Canis lupus familiaris: one gene and its partner. The protein of the gene in region 1 binds, or shares a complex with, the protein of each later gene. Links are inferred from orthologs where the notes say so. Each region holds a gene or a part of one and is shown on either strand. Other genes may lie near its edges.

What was found. Proteins that work in one complex are often made in the same cells at the same time.
Region 2: POLR3G (region 1) and POLR3K share a complex: the UniProt entries of both Homo sapiens proteins name them as parts of the RNA polymerase III complex. The link is inferred for Canis lupus familiaris from reciprocal best matches to the Homo sapiens genes POLR3G and POLR3K.

What each region holds. Positions count from the first base shown.
Region 1 is NC_049224.1:18,660,829-18,664,573, reverse strand, and holds the start of POLR3G (DNA-directed RNA polymerase III subunit RPC7), read left to right. Parts: upstream 1-1,281; 5' UTR 1,282-1,402; exon of another isoform or gene 1,403-1,418; intron 1,419-3,745. Other genes in the region: CETN3 (centrin-3), read right to left, coding at 1,262-1,278. UniProt on the Homo sapiens protein: DNA-dependent RNA polymerase catalyzes the transcription of DNA into RNA using the four ribonucleoside triphosphates as substrates.
Region 2 is NC_049227.1:40,886,892-40,890,553, forward strand, and holds the start of POLR3K (DNA-directed RNA polymerase III subunit RPC10), read left to right. Parts: upstream 1-821; 5' UTR 822-870; coding exon 871-981; intron 982-1,727; coding exon 1,728-1,815; intron 1,816-3,269; coding exon 3,270-3,397; 3' UTR 3,398-3,662. Other genes in the region: SNRNP25 (U11/U12 small nuclear ribonucleoprotein 25 kDa protein), read right to left, coding at 464-505. UniProt on the Homo sapiens protein: Core component of RNA polymerase III (Pol III) which synthesizes small non-coding RNAs using the four ribonucleoside triphosphates as substrates. Can mediate Pol I proofreading of the nascent RNA transcript.

The DNA of each region.
Region 1 (3,745 bases):
GCACCGGGCTCCCTGCATTGGAGCTTGCTTCTCCATCTGCCTGTGTCTCTGCCTCTCTAACTCTCAAGAATAAATAAATGTTAAAAAAAAAAGGAAAAAAAAAAAAAAAAGCCAGGTATGTCTTAAGAGATACTCATCTTAGTGTTCCAAAATTTCGAATGGTGCCGCAACATCCGTACAAGAAGTTTGAAACCAATTTCCTAACACTTTGAAATGTAAAGCCTAGTTGATTTTATTTAATAAAAACACCTTACCTATTTGCCTGTGTTTTGCTTTCTAAAAACCTACCACAAAACCGTCAAGAGACAGACGATCAGAAGATGACCAGGAGACCTATAGTAATAAACAGAGCGGGGGGACAACCTTTCACAAGACACCTGACTTCGCGCGAACAGGGACCCCAGTCCCCGCGGTCACCTTCTCTGGACGGCCAGGTCAACAGCAGGACCCGCCACGGGGTCGAGGCAGGGCTGCCACCATCATCTCCCAACCCAAAGCCGCACCTGTTCAGAAAGGCGTAACCACCTTTTTTTTTTTTTTTTTTTTTTTTTTTTTTAAGGTGCAACGTGTAAAAACATCTAGGTGCTGCTGCTGCTGGGGGCAACGAACGGGGTTAGAGATTGGAAGTCAATGAAAGGTAAACAAAACTAAAAAAAAATTTTTTTTTGAGAAATCAATTAAAGTCATTTATATGGGTCGCCCGTTATATCTTAAAGCAGGGCCCCAGGATAAGAGCAAGGAAGAGTTTAAAGCTCTTTCCAAAATTTATAGCTCGGTCTGACGGCTGCAGGGGCTGCAGGGGCTGCAGGGGCTGCAGGGGCTGCAGGGGCTGCAGGGGCTGCAGGGGCTGCAGGGGCTGCAGGGGCTGCAGGGGCTGCAGGGGCCGGAGACCCGGAGGGCGGAGCTGAACCCAGGGAGGCTCCCCGGCCTGACTTCGCGGAGAAACACCGCGAGAAGAAGCATCGCGATATTTCACTCCCTCCTCCCAACTAGAAACCCATCTCCTCGGTGGTGCAAAGCCCGACGCGCTGATACAGACGCTAACTACCTCGGCACAAATGCACGGGACTCCTCACCTGCGGAGCACCAGGGCCCCCAGGGTGAGGAATCCGAGCCAGGAAGGCTGGCCGAGGCTCCTCGCCCTCATCCCAAAATGCATCCCCTTCCAGCTCGCCTCGGCCCAGCTACCTCCCTTCTACACACGCCAGCCCTGGGGCCCGCTGCGAGGTGTGGAGGGCATTGCGGCCTCCTCATTACCGACCTCAGAGCTAAACTCATTTTCTCTTCGGACAGAGACGTTCCCCTCGAGAACGACTTTAACGCCCTGCCCAAGGCAGCACGACTTCCACAAGCCGTTCAACAGACACCAACGACCTCAGCGGCCTCAAGGACCTCCCACAAGGTAGACGCTTCGGAGTCGGATTGGTTGACGTTGCTAACAGCCCGCCCATTGAGGCGGAAGCGTCCCTGGTCCTCTGCTCTCATTGGGCGTGCTTCGCGTCAATCAAAGAAGCCGCTCGTCCCTCTTCTTCTGCCCCTCCTCCCCGCCCTTTATTGGCTTGTTGAGGTTTCCCGGAATCCTTTGCGGAGCGAGGGTCCAGGTGTCTGCGTGGTAGTTTGGGCGGTAGGTGGCTGCACCTTGCCTCCCGCTGGGTGACCGCCGACGAGATGGACGGCTCCGGGGGAGAAGGGAGGGAGGGAGGAGAGGCGCGCCGCGGGGCCAGCCTCCTTAGCCGAAGGGAGGGAGCGGCTGGGGAATGAGGCCTGCCGAATTTGACTGCGCTGTGTTCTAAAACCTTGGGTGGCCTGAGTCCATGGGGAGTTTGTTTAAAACGCAGATTTAAACGTCCCGTCCTCCCAATTCTGATTTTAGTAGGTATGAATTTGCATTTTTTTCCCCCTTACAATCCCACGTGCTTTTAAGGCAGGTGCTGTCGCTTATAGATTGTATATCTAATGGGTTGGATTATTAGGCTACTTACGGTAAAGCGGCACTTGACGGTACCTTAGCTCCCTTCTCCCTCCCTGAAGGGATCTGTTCTCTTGCATCCTTTGTTTTACAGGGTTGGAAGCTGCTTATACACGTTATATTATCTTAAGCTCCAAACTAAGTTCTTGAAGCTCACCTGGGTAATTTGTTTACTTGTTCATCACTCCTACTAGGCTTTCTTCAAGTGCAGGATGGTATCTTTCATTTAACGCGGATCCCAGTGCCTGATACGGTGCCTGATGCACAGGCGCTCAATGAATATTTGTTGCGTTGGGTGGGATCTTGCTGTGAAAACCCACAAATCACTGAACTAAGTTGTAACCCTTATAAAGGAGTGAAATAGCCTGAATATGGCGTTGAGGCAGGGTAAGGGGGAAGATGTATAAACACTATGGGCTATGTATAAAGGATATATATATATATATATATATATCCTCAACATATATATGTTTATATATGTTTTTATATATGTTTATATATAAATATGTTTATACGTATAAACATGTTTATATATTTAATACACATGTTTATGTTGGGATCCCTGGGTGGCGCAGCGGTTTGGCGCCTGCCTTTGGCCCAGGGCACGATCCTGGAGACCCGGGATCGAATCCCATGTCGGGCTCCCGGTGCATGGAGCCTGCTTCTCCCTCTGCCTATGTCTCTGCCTCTCTCTGTGTGTGACTATCATAAATAAATAAATATATATATATATGTTTATGTATATATTTATATATGTGTTTAGGTATATATTTTTATTATATAAACATATATATATATATATGTTTAAAGAAGGGAGAGAACCAGTAGGACAGAAGAAAGTCTTCTTGAAGGATTTGGCCTATATGTTAGGCTTAGAAGGATGAACTAAATTTGGACAGGTAAAACTAGTATGATGGTGTAACTCTAAAAATTAAAGGTTAAAGGAAACCCCCCCCCAAAAAAAAAAAAAAACAAAATTAGAACACCTAACCTTTTAAAGTATTTCTATAAATCACTGTTGACTCGAAAAGGAAAGGTAATATTGCCACTAATACGGTTTTTGGTAGTTTAAAAGGAAGGTTGGGGCACCTGGCTGGATAAGTCTGTAGGGCATGCATCTCTCGATATCTGGGTTGTGAGTTCAAGCCCCACGTTGGGCATAAAGCTTATTTTAAAAAAATAACAAGAGGGAGGTTTACAAATTATTAAAGTACTTTATACGACTTCATGCTGCCAATGAATTTTAATATTGAAATGAAATAGTCACTTTCCAAGGGAAACAGATGACTCAAAAAAGATAGAAAACTGAATTAGGTCGATAACTATAGATAGAACTGAATGATAGGATGATGCCACAATTCCATGCTGTAAAATAAAAAGGCGTCCAACCCACTCAGAGTTCTGGGTGAGTTTAAAAATTCATGAGGAGCAGGCGCCTGGCTGGCTCAGTTGCAGGAGCATGCAACTCTTGATCTTGGGGTCGTGGATTCAAGCCCCACGTTGGCTGTAGAGATTACTTAAATAAAAAAGAAAAAAACACCAAACAACTTTGAATTCATAAAAATTCCCAAGGAACTAATTCTGGTGCTTTAAATTCAAAGTATGATGAAGAACTTAAATTTTGAAGCTTGCACAGAGAACATTTAAAGCATTTAATATCACTGACTGTATGCTCCATGATAAGAGGGTACATGTTGGGATGCCCGGGTGGCTTAGCAGTTAAGCGCCTGCTTTCGGCCCAGGTCGTGATCCTGGAGACTCAGGATTCAAGTCCCA
Region 2 (3,662 bases), on another chromosome or scaffold:
GAGGAGCGCTGAAACAGGAGAGGGTGAGCGCCAGATCTGGGCTCTGGGGCTGGGAAGGAGGAGGCGCGGTCAGTCCGGGATCCAGGGCGACACCGGGCGGGGGGGGGAGGGGAGGCCGGTGTGCGAGGGTGACCGGGGCGCCCAACCCAGGAGTGAACGTCCTCGGGCGGGGCGCGAATCTCGATGCGGAGTCCCGGGGTGGAGCCGTTCTCCCCACTTGAGCCTCAACTACGGAAACGACCTTAGAACCTGCACCTGCAGCGCAGCCGCGCCCGGGGCGCCCGGGGCGCCGTCGGGGTCCGCCTTGGGACCGGACGACCGTCCGCCTGTCCCTGTCCCCTGCTGCCCCCGCTCGTGCTCGGGTCAGTGAGGTCCTTAAAGGACACGGGAGAATCGAGGCCCGCCGCATCGTCACCTCTGGCGCCCACAGGGGGAGGTCAGGCACCGAGGTCCCGCCGCGCACCTGGATCGGGAGGTCGCAGAGCAGCGGGTCCTGCACCACCATGGCGAGCCCCTCCTGGAACACGTCCACCGCCTCGGAGTGCGGCAGCGCCTCCTCTTCATCCTCCTCGGCCTCGGGCGCCTCGGGCCGCGCCGCCGCCGCCTCCGCCTCGGCCTCGGCCTCCGCCGGCTCCAGGGCGCCCGCCCAGCCCCGCGCTCCGACCGCGCCGCCGCCGCTTCCGGCCGCGAGGGGCGGGGCTGCCACGGGGACCGATGGGAGGCTCGAGGCGGCCTGCCGCAGGGGCTGCTGGGAGCGCCAACCCGGCCCGGCCATTGGGGCGGCGGCGGCCCGGGCCAATGGGAGCTCGCGACGGGCCCGACGCCGGCGCCCCGCGGCCGCAGGGGCTGCCGGGAGCGCGCGGGGCAGCCATGCTGCTCTTCTGTCCGGGCTGCGGGAACGGGCTGATCGTGGAGGAGGGACAGCGCTGCCACCGCTTCGCCTGCAACACCTGCCCCTACGTGCACAACATCACGCGCAAGGTGATCACCCGCCGCCCCCCGCCCAGCAGCCGACGCCCGCCCCGCCGGGGTGCTCCAGCGGCCCCGCCCCCGCCCCCCGCCGTATCGGGAGCGGCCTGGCCTCACCCGGCTCCCGTGGCGGCGTCCCCGGCGGCGGCCCGGGCGGCCTCGTCGGAGCCGTGGCCGGATCAGGCCCGCCCTGTGCGCTGGCGCGGCTGACTGCGGGTCCGGGCCGACGCCGCCAGCCCCCGGGGAGCAGCCCGCGCCGCGCACCGACACGGCCGCCGGGCCTTTGCACGTGCTCCCGCTGCCCTCCCCGCCCCGCCCGCAGCCTCGCCGTGTTTGGGTCGTGCCGAGCAGCGTGGCTCTGGCGGACTCGGGTCACCTGCGGACACGCCTCTACGGGACTTGCGTGCCTGGGGTCGGTGCTGCGGCCCCAACCCGGGCCCTGGACGGAGCCGCGGCGCACCGCCCGCCCCGAGCTGCCCGCGGGAGTTGGGGCCGCCGCCGCGACGCCCGGGACGGAGCCGGGGGCCTGCGCGGAGGGCCCGGGCCGAGCGTGGACGGGGTGGGGTGGGGGGTCCCGGCTGCATCCGCCTCTTGGGCCGGCCCGACGCTGGAGCCCCTGGACCCGGGCCGAGCCCTGCGCCGCGGGTGTAGAGACGCGGCTGCCCAGGATCGTGCAGCCCGCGGGGAGGAGGGCAGTCGGCGGCCGGGTCAGCACCGCGCCCCTACCCGCGGCCTGAACACCTGCCGCCTTTCGCCAGGTCACCAACCGGAAGTACCCGAAGCTGAAAGAAGTGGACGATGTGCTCGGCGGCGCGGCGGCCTGGGAGAACGTGGACTCCACCGCAGGTGAGAGCTGAGGCCGCGCTGCCTTTGAGGAAGGAAGCTCCTAAAAATAGCGTGTGTATTTTCTTCTTTAGTGATTTATTTCTTACACAGGCAATATTGGCATAAACCCCAGAGACGTACAGGTGTGGGTTAGTCTCAAAGCCACAGCCTCTTAACATCGCATGACCTTGGTGGCCTCCCTCCGTTGTGAGAGCGTGAAGGGAGCCCCGCAGCACTTGGCCTCTAGCGTGGTCCTCAAGTGGCGGCTGTGCGGGGAGCAACCGATGGCAGTAATGAAAGTCGGAGCCTAAGGAAGAGTATATGGTCCATTTGTTCAGTTGTGGATCTTTTTTAAAATTAATTATCTCTAAAAAATATTTTATTTATGTATTCATGAGAGACGCAGAGACAGAGACACAGGCAGAGGGAGAAGCAGGCCCCATACAGGAGCCCGATGTGGGACTCGATCCTGGGACCCCCCGGGGTCACACCCTGAGCAGAAGGCAGATGCTCAACCACTGAGCCACCCAGGGATCCCTGGTGTAGATTTTTATTTTTAATTAATTAATTTATTCATTCATTCGTTTGTTTGTTTGTTTATTTATTTATTTATTTATTTATTTATTTTTCTTCCTGGTGTAGATTTTTAAAAGCTGATGGCAGAGAGCATTCACATGTTTATTTCAAGTCTTGTTTCCTGTCTGATAGAGGTAGATGTGACCAGGGAAGGAAAGAAGAGAGCCCTAAACACATCTGTGTTGAGCGGAGGAAGACCCAACTCCTGTTTAGTATTATCTTTTCTCCCCCATAGAAGAACATCTAAATCTGATATGGTAAAATTAGCATTGGCAGAATTTGCCAGGAAAGAAAAGAAGATGATTTTGGTACCTAATGTTCAAAGTGCTGTTTGTGAGTGTTTGAAGGCATTATCAAGCATAGGGTCAGTTTCCCGAACTGAAGTCACTTTGCCTTGAGGTATTTGGCAAAGGTGTGGGTTGTATGGTGAGGTCTTCATAAGAACGGCCTGAGGAACTGCTGCCGAGATGGATCCCTAAATTTAATGGGAAGTGGATTTGTCATCCCCTGGGGGCTCCTCCAGGAAGTTGAGAGGGCTTAGGTGATGGAGATGCACTTGGAAGAATCTGCCCAGAGTGGACCCCATCATGCACATGGTAGCCATAAGCCACATTTCATGTCACATTTCCAGCTAGTCTTCAACCAGATTTGAGAAGAAAAATGGGACTCAGGGAGGGGAGCAGGAGTGTTTTCCAGGGTCACAAGTCCCCTCAGTGTGAGAGTGTAGTGGGAATGATGCCACTAATTACAGCCTTTCAGTCATGGCGCAAGGTGCCCTAGGCAGGGGATGCCAGATGATTGGGGTCGGGGAGGGATTTGGTGTGTTAATACCTACCTACTTCTAGCAGGTGTGTTTGGTCATGAGCATAATGTGGGTCACTTGTTTTTCTCGTTGCCAGAGTCATGTCCTAAATGCGAACATCCTCGTGCCTATTTCATGCAGCTTCAGACTCGCTCTGCAGACGAGCCGATGACCACCTTCTACAAGTGCTGCAATGCTCAGTGTGGACACCGCTGGAGGGACTAGGGCCAGGATCCAGCTGTGTCATTGTCTGCCTACCTTGTTCCCTAGGGTGGATTCACAGCCAGGAGTGTGAACTGTTTGTCCTGAACTGTCTCTGCTGATGTGGCCAAAAGCTAACCCTTTCACGGGAGCTGGTCAGGGTACCAGCCCATCTGGCAGTCAGCGGATGAGCTCATTTATATCCAGGGGGATTGTGTGTGCAGGGAAGGGTATACATAAGTAAGTGTGTTCTTTTTAATATCCTGTTTGTGGATCTTGTAGGTATATT